3 linked regions of the Oryctolagus cuniculus genome follow. The protein of the gene in region 2 purifies or fractionates together with the protein of the main gene of each other region. This does not show direct contact. Links are inferred from orthologs where the notes say so. Each region holds a gene or a part of one and is shown on either strand. Other genes may lie near its edges. The genes, in order: XRCC4, PNKP and LIG3.

Evidence for each region.
Region 1: the proteins of PNKP (region 2) and XRCC4 purify together in Homo sapiens (co-immunoprecipitation; 5 studies listed by BioGRID and IntAct, counting the BioPlex papers as one, with this or other methods). This does not show direct contact. The link is inferred for Oryctolagus cuniculus from reciprocal best matches to the Homo sapiens genes PNKP and XRCC4.
Region 3: the proteins of PNKP (region 2) and LIG3 purify together in Homo sapiens (co-immunoprecipitation; 5 studies listed by BioGRID and IntAct, with this or other methods). This does not show direct contact. The link is inferred for Oryctolagus cuniculus from reciprocal best matches to the Homo sapiens genes PNKP and LIG3.

What each region holds. Positions count from the first base shown.
Region 1 is NC_091445.1:6,524,916-6,527,738, reverse strand, and holds the end of XRCC4 (DNA repair protein XRCC4), read right to left. Parts: intron 1,316-2,823; coding exon 1,204-1,315; 3' UTR 600-1,203; downstream 1-599.
Region 2 is NC_091449.1:7,700,949-7,705,089, reverse strand, and holds the start of PNKP (bifunctional polynucleotide phosphatase/kinase), read right to left. Parts: upstream 2,898-4,141; 5' UTR 2,298-2,897; intron 2,078-2,297; 5' UTR 2,066-2,077; coding exon 1,912-2,065; intron 1,836-1,911; exon of another isoform or gene 1,699-1,835; coding exon of another isoform or gene 1,698-1,698; intron 1,613-1,697; coding exon 1,566-1,612; intron 1,293-1,565; coding exon 978-1,292; intron 706-977; coding exon 626-705; intron 549-625; coding exon 491-548; intron 420-490; coding exon 312-419; intron 220-311; coding exon 148-219; intron 1-147. Other genes in the region: AKT1S1 (proline-rich AKT1 substrate 1), read right to left, coding at 3,668-3,811. UniProt on the Homo sapiens protein: Plays a key role in the repair of DNA damage, functioning as part of both the non-homologous end-joining (NHEJ) and base excision repair (BER) pathways.
Region 3 is NC_091448.1:39,288,087-39,291,732, forward strand, and holds part of LIG3 (DNA ligase 3), read right to left. Parts: intron 2,687-3,646; coding exon 2,486-2,686; intron 1,769-2,485; coding exon 1,617-1,768; intron 878-1,616; coding exon 711-877; intron 583-710; coding exon 505-582; intron 61-504; coding exon 1-60. UniProt on the Homo sapiens protein: Isoform 3 functions as a heterodimer with DNA-repair protein XRCC1 in the nucleus and can correct defective DNA strand-break repair and sister chromatid exchange following treatment with ionizing radiation and alkylating agents.

The sequences.
Region 1 (2,823 bases), on a different chromosome or scaffold from region 2:
GACCACAGGCAACCCAGGGTGGCTGAGAGTGACAGCGTGGGCAATGAGGAGAAGAGAACTCAAGACTGAGCCCAGGCCTCAAGCTTTAGCTGTTGGGCAAGGGGGACAGAATCAGCTAAGAAGTCCAAGAGATGAGAGACTGAAAAGAGGCCTACGGAGAATACCCGGTGTTCGAGGAAGGAAGAGCAGGCCCACTGGGAAGAAGTGACCCACCGAGGCTCTCAGGAGGATGAGGGTGGTAATGAGCCAACCTCTGGATTCAGCAACCTGCCAGCCACTGTCAACTTCAGTGCTGTAGCCTTCCATAGTGTGGAGGGAGTGGAGACAGCAGGAGAGGTGGCGAGTACAATCATGGATGCACACAGAAACAGTGCCAGTGTTATTTGGGATGGATAAGTAAATACGAAAAGGCCTTGTCTTCAGGGAGAGTCTCTCTATGCATATAAGGTAAACATTTATCAACAATCCTGGAAAAATGTTTCTAACAAAAAAGCACATTATTAAACACATTCTGGGATGGGAGAGGGAGTGGGAGATGGGATGGTTGCAGGGGGTGGGGGAGGGAGGTTATGGGAGGAAAAGCCACCATAATCCAAAAGTTGTACTTTGGAAATTTATATTTATTAAATAAAAATAAAAAATAAACACATTTGGAAGAAAAATTTTTGCTAAATAATACATTTTATCAAGAACACAGAACTTTCAAAGCACCAAAAATTTTATTATTAGATTTTCAGATTGTTTACATACAAACTAAAAATATATTTTATATATCATCCAACAAATGAAAATGCTCAAATATAATTAACTGTTCAGAATATAACTTTTCAAAAAGAACTACAAACATTTAAAAGATTTCTTTGTTACTTTTTGAAAATCCCCCTGGACAGGGTGTGAGACATGTACCACACACAATATGTATGAATGAAAACAATAAATGTGTCCTCTGAAACAAAGTTTAAGATTTTATGTAATTAAAGGCATGCTGCACGAATAGTTTAGAAGAACGTAACACTGTCATCAAATCACATCTTCATATACACGTGTAATCCATTTTGTACAACGGCTTCAACCCCGTGTGTATGTAATTAAATCGTAAGGTTGCAGTAATGGCTACTGCTCGGCTGCAATTCCGCTGTTTCATTTTAAAGAAATGAATAGAAAACGCAATCTAGTGGCCATCCAAGTACTTCCTCAAGACTGTTAAATCTCGTCAAAGAGGTCTTCCGGACTGCTGTTTCTCAGCGTCTCTAAAGACAAGTGCTCAGCGGAGACGCGCTCCTTCTGCAGTGTCTCAGGGAGTGAAGGATCGAGCCTAGAGTGAAAAGAAAGCCAGGAGAGTTTTATTTGAAAAAAAATAATTCCACTGTAGCACAAAAGAAAATGCGGATGTACCTAAGTGGATCATGTTACAGCCTGTTTCAGAACTGGTATGTTGTTAGCTACAAGCAAAGAAGGATGAAAGGAATTCAATTTCTTTGCTTTAGAATGCATCTGTCTCTATTCTCAGCTAAAATAAAAAAATCAAGGGCCTGCAACAGTCATGATCAAGGTCAAGAAAGGAAATATCTCATCCTCTGTTCTATATTCACTGTTATACCAAGATACAGGTTCCCCAAGCCCTCCCTTTAACAATTCCATCACAACATTCATTTTCCTCCGGCTTCCTTAGATGCTGCCCGTGAACATGCATTTCTGTCCCTGCGCAGCACAAAGTTCTGATCACTGGACTTTCCTTTAGCGGTCAGTGGGTCGCGTGTGGATGACTAACAGTGATTGTTCACCTTGATGGTGACTGCTGACGAAATGCTGTAGGTCCACATTCGTTCACTGAATATGCACATCTTGTTTAGCAATTGAAATTTTATCCAGTTCGGTACCACAGTTGAGTACTTCAGTGGACTGATTTCTATATTTATGGGAGTGTTCTCAGTGCTGGGATAACGGGTTTGTTCATGGCCATGATCGCTGTTGACTGGTACAGGGCAGACGGAGCTGGGGTGCAACGGCTCAGTCACAAGGAAAACTTCGGGATACATGTTTACATCCTTGTGCTACGCTTTGCCCCTGGTTTTCCAGGGAACCTTCACGAAATGTGCTTGATGATAGTGATTGGAGGTGGCTGCAGAAGGAAGTATGATTAGGCTGAGTCCAACTTCAAAGGCAGAGGGGGAGTCACAGTGGCTCGGAACACCTGCAGGGTCATCGACTTGAAGCTGATGTGCACAGTTCTGAATGCAGGTCTATTTCTTTTTTCCAAATACATTTTTTCATTGATTTCATTTTATTTATTTTAAATGTCTATTTATTTGTTTGAACTGGGAGGAGGGAGGAAGGGGGGGAAGAGAAAGAAAGAGAGAGAGAGAGAGAGAGAGAGAGAATCTTCTATATACTGTCTCACTCCCAAAATGCCTGAAATACTGGGGGGTGGACGGGGTGAAGCCAGGAACCAGGAACTCCATCTGGGTCTCCCAGACGGGTAGGAAGGACCCAAGCACTGGAGCCATCGTCTGCTGCCTCCCAGGGTGCACATTAGCAGGAAACTGTAGAAGAGGCAGAGGTGGGACAGAAACCCAGGCACCCTGATGTACACACCAGAAGTGGCAGCTTAACTCAACACCACAACACTTGCCCCAAATCCAAGTCTACGTCTTCCTAGCTAAGTGATGTTAGGCGAGTCATTCAACCTAACAGACTCCCGTTGTCTCTGCTGAGATAGTATCTGCCTCTGAAGTGGTCTGAAGATTAAAGGAGGGGATGTACATGAAAGTGCTTGTGAAGTTCCACAAAACAGAACCTCCTAGTTTTTCATAAACTGTATAA
Region 2 (4,141 bases):
CGGCTGAGCGTGGGGACGATGCGGACAGGCCCTCCGCATAGCGGGCTCGGGCCTCCAGCGCCTAGGATGTGGCAGCTGGGGAGAGAAGGCGCGGCCGGGGCGGCGAGCAGGCCTCCAGCGCGCGGGGGCCAGGGCGGGGCTGCTCACCTGCTCCTGCAGGTAGTCCCACATACCGCTCACCGGCTTCCGGTACAAGCCCGCGTGCGTGGCCACCAGCACCTGGGGTGGGGTCGGCATGGGACGTCACGCCGCTGCTCCCCGCGCCCCTGGAAGCCGCCCTCCGCCTTGCCAGCCAGGCGCCCCGGCCGTACCTGGAAGGGGGCCCCCAGCTTCTCCAGCACGGCCTCCACCTTGGCCTTGAACTCCTCTGCCCGCAGCTTCCCGCGCCCGATGCCCATCTGGTTGGTGAAGATCACCAGCTGGGGAGCAGGGGGCCGTCAGCGGGCGCGCGGCTCTGGCCCTGCCCGGCCCACAGCCCAGGCACACGCACCTTGTAGCCATCCGCAACGAGCTCCCGTAGCCTCCGCGGAATCTCCGGGTACAGGAGCCTAGGGCAGGCGGGAAGCCCTGCTGACCCGGGGCCGGAGGTGGCTCCGGGCCCCCTCGCTCCCTCCCCCGTGCTCACCTCCAGTCACTGGGGCCAGTGGGAAAGACCTTCCCGGAGCGGGTGGTGATGAGGGTCCCGTCCAGATCAAAGCCAGCCACCTGGGGACGCCAGGGGGACAGCAGCAGCCCGGTGACCCCACCGCCCATCCGAGCGCCCTGGGAGAACCCCAAGTCCTTCCTGTCTCTCGTGGCTGCCCCCGGTACCCCAACCTCTAAGACGGGGGTTAAGGTACCCGAGCTCTGCCCGGTCTGCACTTAGACACAGCGGGAGCTAAGCTTCGGGGGGTGACTGCGGGGTGGGCACGCGCCGCGCTGACCCCGGGTCCAGCTCCGAGCGCTGGAGGCCGAGCAAAGCCGGGCCTGGGCCTCACCTTGGCGCGGGGCTGCACGCCGGGCGCGGTGAACACCAGCAGCTTGTCCAGGTGCGCCCAGCCTGGAGCCGACCTCCGCCTCCGCTTCTCCGGCGGCTCCTCCTCTGGGGGCTCTGGAGGGGTGCCGGGTGGAGTAGCTGGCCGGGATCCTGGTGAGTCGGTCTCCTCCCAGCGCAGGGTCAGCGGGTGCAGGCCATTGACCAAATACAGCGTATCCCCAACCCCCAGCGAGCCCTCCAAACCCTGCTTCAGTTCCTGAGTGCCAGCAGTTGAGGGGTTAATTCCCAGCTGCAGAGAAAGGGGAAGGAACTGCGGCTGGCCCCGCCCCCCAGCACCAACCTCCAATCAAACACCCAGGGACGGGACTTACAAGCCCCACCTCCTCACTGCACCCACCAATCAGGGCTTTGAGAGGTTACAGGAGGCTGCCCTACCGCAGCAGGGGAGGCTGCACTGGCCACGCCCCTTCCCCCCTCAGCCACTCTCCAGGGGCTGGCCACGCTCTTCCTCAGCCAATCAGATCCCTAGGGGCGTGTCCCCGAAGGCGGTGCTCTCTGGCTAGACCCGACCCCCAGGCCGCGCTCGCACCTGTTTCACCGCCACGGTCCGGGTCTCCAGGTCCGCGACCAGCTCCACTGCGGGTGGGGGAGTGAGGTCAGGGTGCGGCCCCCGTGTGACTGGTTTCCCGGTACTGGGGCGCGGGGCCGGGAGGCGGTTTACTTCAAGACAGGACCGCCGACCACACGGGCGCTTTCTCTCTGGAATCGGGGCGCTTCTCTCCGCGGGGTCTGGCTGGCCCCAGTTCAGGCTCAGCCACCCACTCCTCTGCTTCCCAGAGGGCACCCGCCCCCCTCGGCCTCGCCGGGCCCAGCGCCTGCTAGGAAGCGGTTCCTGCTTCCGGGCAGGCCACACCCCCGGCCCGGGCCCCGCCCACCTTGGGTTCTCGAGCACTTCCGGTCCGTAACCTGCGTCAGTGGCCCCCGGCCTAGGACCAGGGGCTGCCCGTCCGAGGGCAGGAAGATGGGGGCCGCCCCTCCCGGGGGGCTTTGCAGCCACAGGCGGCCCCGGGGCTGCTCCGTCTCGGCCATCGCGCGTGCAGACTAAAGGGGAACGGGTCTGAACGGCGGGCGCCCCAGTTCCACAGGAAGTCCCGCCTCTTCCCAGCCCGTCCGCCAGGAAGTCCCACCCCCTCGCGGCCTCGGGCTCGTGCCGTTTCCCTGGCGACGACGCCGGCTCCGGCTCCCCGCCGGCCCGAGTCCCCGATTCCTCGGGGCTGGGCTCAGAGCTTCGCGCGCCGCCGCCTCGCCCGCACACGCTCACCCGCGCCGGCTGCCCGGACTCCGGCGTCGCTTCAAGCCAAGGCGGGCCCGCCCGAGGCGCCCTGCCCTCGCCGCCGCCTCTCGGGTCCCGGCGGACGGAAGTGACTGGGCGCGCCGAGGGGGCGGAGCTCCGGCCCCGCCCCCCGCTCGCTCTCGCTGCAGTGTCAGGTTCGGCCCCTAGGGGGCGTCGGTGACCCGTGCGAACTCCTCTCGAATTCCCGGCGCCTGTGGTGGAGTCAGTCCGAGGGGCCGCCCCTACCTAGGTCGGTCTATTGCTTCACACCCGACGCCGCAGAGGGATTGCTACGCGAATATCAAGAGTTCACACGGAAATATACAAGCGGCAGAAAATCCTATTGCTGGCGTTCCTCTGGTCGCGACCTGATGGGAAACCGAGATTCCCCGGCCACCGGCCCGACTCTGCTCCACGGGGCCGGAGCCCTCCCCTGCCCACGAGTGCCCCACCCGGCCATAACGTGGGGGCAGTGCCACCGGCCCGACTGCCCAACTCTGGTCCACGGGGCCGGAGCCCTCCCCTGCCCACGAGTGTCCCACCCGGCCATAACGTGGGGACAGTGCCACCGGCCCGACTGCCCGACTCTGGTCCACGGGGCCGGAGCCCTCCCCTGCCCACGAGTGCCCCGTTCCTGGCCCGTGGAGCTGGGAGTGATTCCAACTCCCAGCCTCGCTCTGCGCGTCCGGCCCAGGAGCGTCTAAGCTGAATGCACAGCACACGTCACGCTCACGTCAGAAGTAAAACTTTTAATCTCAGAGCGCCCTTCCCATTCCCGGCTCCCACCCCCCTCTCCCCCCGCAGCAGGGCCGGAGAGTGAGGCCCCCTCTCCCCACGTGGGTGGACGAGGGCCCATTAAGGCACCTGTGGGCGGGAGGGGCGGGGGCTGGTGCGCCTGGCAGGCTGTTGGAGGGGCCGGGGACAGGGCCGAGCAGCCGTGTCAGGACGTGGGCGAGGCGGGCTAAACCAGCCCGAGCCTCAGTAGTGTGAACGCGGGATGGCTGCAGACCGAGTCTGGACACCAGGGCTGGGCCGCGCCCCGGGGCCGGAGCCGCTCCGCGGGGAGAGCCCTTTGCTTCCGCCCGAACCCGGCCGCCCCGGCCGGGAGCTAGCCACGCCCCCGCCGGGGTCAACCAATCGCAGCAGGAGCCGTCGCTGGGCAGGACCGACCGACCCAATCGGGAGACGCCGGCGGGCGGGGCGGGGCGAGGGGCGGGGCTGGCAGGGACGCGCAGCCCCAGCCGCGGACACGTGGGGGGCGGGCCCCAGGCCGCGCCGGCATTGGCGAGCTCCGGGGGCGGGCCAGGGGCGTCGTGCGGGGCGGGGCGGACGCGGGACCCGGCGGCCCCTCCCGGGCCTCAGTATTTCCGCTTCAGCTTCTGGAAGTCGCTGGTGTTGAGCCGCGGCCGCGGCAGGTCCCCGAACACCTGGGTGTCGTCGGCCTCCCGCAGCACGAGCGCGCGCATGCTCGCCGCGATGCGGTCCAGGTCCGGCGAGGAGGGCTGCGGACAGGGCGACGGGTGAGGGTGCTCACCGCCTGCTCCGTCCCTGGCCCTGCCCCACGTCCCGCAGCCCTCACTCCGGCACAGGGCCTCAGATCTGAAGATCTGGGCAGGCTGCGGTGAGCCGGTGAGCCAGTGAGCCCCCCGCTCTGACAATGGGGCTGATGTGAGGTCGCGGACAGGCCATCAGCTGTCACTCCACGCTCCCATGCAGGCCTGGTGCCCCCGCAGCTCCTGGCCCCAGATGGGACCCACGTCACAGCTGGTGGACCCTGCCTGGGCCCCTACAGCCTGGGGCAGGCGGGGTCCCCGCTGTGACCTGGGCCTGCA
Region 3 (3,646 bases), on a different chromosome or scaffold from region 2:
TCCTGCAGGTTGCGCGAGGCTTTGAAGGCTTCATAGGCATTGGGGTCGAGGGCATCTAACCTGCCAGTGGGGACAGGAGCAAGGAAACAAAACCACTGCCTTTGACCTGATGGCTTTGGGGAGCAACCTGTCCTCACAGACAGGAAAGCCCAATCTAGAGGGGAGACGTTGTGCTTTCTTGTCCAAAAACTTTTATAGGAAGGGGGAAACACTCTTGGAAGGTTGTCTTTAGTGACCCTGTGACTATGTGGATGCCAGCTCAGCAGTGGAGGGGCCTGGGTTGGGCCAACTACACTTAGTACATTCCATACTCAATTTTAACAACTCTGTGATGAAGGTATTGTTAGCTCTTCTTTACATATAAGAAAATGGAGGTAGAGAAAGAATCGTTACCCTGCAGGAAGAAAAATGGGACAGGATTCCAGATCAAGACTCCAAAGATCTGACACCAGCTGGGGACAAAGAAAGCTGACAGCTTAGGCTGTCGCAGGAACTGGCACTTACACATGCTTTGCACCCGAGTTCATCTTCAGATCATGTTTGATCAGCCTGATGATGCACTTAAGGTCATTGGCTGTGCACCTAAGGAGAGGAAGCACATTCAACACGACCTCTGAAGAGCTCTGGATGCTCCAAACCGAAACTCCCAAGTGATCCAGCTCCCGGAGCCCATCCCCACCAAGTGTGGCTTGATAGGGCAACTCCCCCACCTGGAGGCGATGTCCTGTAGGGCCTGCTGCTGTTCATCTTCTTTGGTGAGCTTGGAGAGCCGCAGGAGGAATTCATCCACTTCCTGGATGGTAAGGAGGCTCTTGGCAGCTGGGGGGAAAGACTTGCTCTGCTCAAAGAAGACTCTGATTGTCTCTGACACGTCACCCTGTCTCCAAAAACCAAAATGCCACTGCTACAACCCCAGGGTGGCCAAGTGTGTCCCCCAAGACCTTAGGACTAAAATGAGTCGAGATTTCAATCACAGTTCCTGTCCTCAACTCGGTGCATGTGGGAGCTTCAAAAAGTGCATAGAAAATCACATTATCCAGTAATTTCCCTTTTCCAACTAACCTTTTGAAGCCCCCTCATATTTACCTAACTTAGAGACTCTGGCCCAGCCACTGCTCCTAGAAGGGGCACAGCTATCACACAGGACCTGCCCACCTGCTTTGGCTGACAAGAATAGACACAGGAACTAATCCAGGGCTGAGCCAATTTGATTCCTGCTCTAAGATCTGTTAACAACTAACAGACAGATATTAGTTATCAGATAGGGGGGCACTTGGATGGAAACTTTCTACGGTACCCGCTGGCATTACAAACAAACCAAAGCTGAATGGCAAGGCCAAAGTTATAGGGGCAAGTCCAGAATGAGAATCCCAGGTGAGAACAGGGAAAGCTCAGATCCTGACTTTTGAAAGTCTTTGCCGTCTGTGGCTCAGCAGTAGCATAGTTTTAGTCCTTGGGAGCTCATGAAGTGAACAGCTGTAGCCTCACATTCAGCCCCTCCCATAATGGTTTCAGTTTCTTAACACAGGAAGTGCCCCACCCAGAAAAAAAGTGGCTGCAGTGCCTGGCCTGGCAGAACCCCACCTAGAACAGGGCCTATTCTCCCTTCCTCTGACCTGCTCTAGGTCCCGCGCCATATCGTCTGGGTTGCAGTTAAAAATGCGGCTGAAGAGCTTCACAATCTGCTTGTCATTCAAGTTGTAAACACTCTTAATGACCCCCGGCAACAGGAGCTTCACTGTTAGGTACGTATCACCGCGGAAACCATCTGGAGACAGAAGAAAGGAACCCTACTTGAGAAATGCAGCTTAAATGAATACAAAAACTCCAGGAAGCAGAGACCCACCTGTCTGTCTGTCTGTCTATCGCCTGTCTATCTATTGCTCCCTGCTCCCATGGTGCCCTGTGCCTATCTCTATGGCAGGAGGGGCCACAAAGTTCAGTGGCTCCTGTGTCTGCCTCACCTTTCGCCCGTGGATGAACTCCTGCGGGGCAGAGCCAGGACCTGCACTTCACATCCTGAGTGACAAGTAGGTTTCAGATGCTCAGTGTGACAATGTTTATGAATGAACAAGGCAGAGTTGAAGGCTGCATTCCAAGCTGTCACATGCTCACATAAATCTAACCCAACGCGCAAGTTATGGAATTTTCACAGGCAGAGGCTCAGCCTACTATGCCACAGCGCCGGCCCCTCCTTTGGGTCCAATAGGATGGGTTGTTCTTCTGGCCTCCTTAGGGTGGAATAAGGGCAAAGGAAGAAAGGTGCCCAAGCACTCTGAGCACTCTGAGCACTCTGGCTACATCACTGTGGGGCCTGGTGCCAAATGTAAACACGAGCCCCTTGTTCAGAATTACTAACTGCAAGACTACACCAGTGGAGCACTAAACCACACAGGGAGTCTGTGCGACAGTTCGCATGCCCAGGAGCCGGCCATGGCCTGGAGCTCTGCAGAGGACGAGCCCACTCAGGATGCTCGTGGCCCACCTCCTGTTGAGCCTTTCCGCAGGAAGTTCTGGATGATCTGGGTCTTTGTGTTGTAGCTCGGGTTATCGGCCACCATGGCACACAGCTTGCGAAATTCCCGCAGCAGACAATCCTTGTGTTTGGGGTCACATTTGCTTGAGGACAAACTTGTTGTAGGGGCAGGGCTTGAGGGTGGGTTCTGCCCAGAGTTGTTGGGCTTAGCTGTGGAGAAAGAAACAACAGACATCATTCTCTCTGCCATCCTGAGAAGGGAGGACACGAAGAGGCGGTCTGCTCGTGCTTTCCATGCAGCTTTCCTGGATCGCCTAAGTGCCTGTGCGGTGCACACCATTACACTCACCTTACAGGTGGAGACATGGAGCTCAAGTAATTGCTCCAAACCTCAAAGTTTGTTTTTTATTTTATTTTTTTAAATACCTATTTATTTGAAAGGCAGAGTTACAGATAAAGAGAGGGAGACATCCACACACACTCACACAGGGAGGGAGGAAAGGAGAAAAAAGAGAGATTTTCCATCCACTGGTTCATTTCCTGGATGGCCGTAACAGCCATGACTGGGCCAGGTCAGAGCCAGGAGCTTCACTGGGGTCTCCTAAGTGGGTGGCAGGGGCCCCAGCACTGGGCCATCTGCACTGCTTTCCCAGGTGCATTAGCAGGGAGCTGGATTGGAACTGGTACTCACTCACATGGGATGCTGGTGTTACTGGCAGCAGCCTAATCCACTGCACCACAATGCTTGCCCCGATTTTTTGTTTTTTCTTTTTTTTTTAAATCTTAATTTATTTATTTGAGGGGGGAAGAGAGTGAGCAAGCATCCACTGGTTTATTCTTCAAATGCCTGCATTGACTCTGGGCTAGGCTGGGAGCCAAAGCAAGCAACTAGGAACTCAGCTGAGGTCTTCCATGTGGGCAGCAGGAATCCAATCACTTAAGTCACCACAGCTGGTTCCCAGGGTCTCCATCAGCAGGACCCAGAGCTGGTTATCATGTCCAGGCACTCCCACCCTGCTGTCTTGGCTAGACCAAACACCTGTCTCTCATAATTATGCACGGTAAAGAACAATGGGCCCCTCACACTGAAGCCGAGGACCAGACTGACATGGATCTATAGGTGAGCCCTTCCCAGAAGAACAGAGGCCATCTCCGTGTCAGGAATGCTCA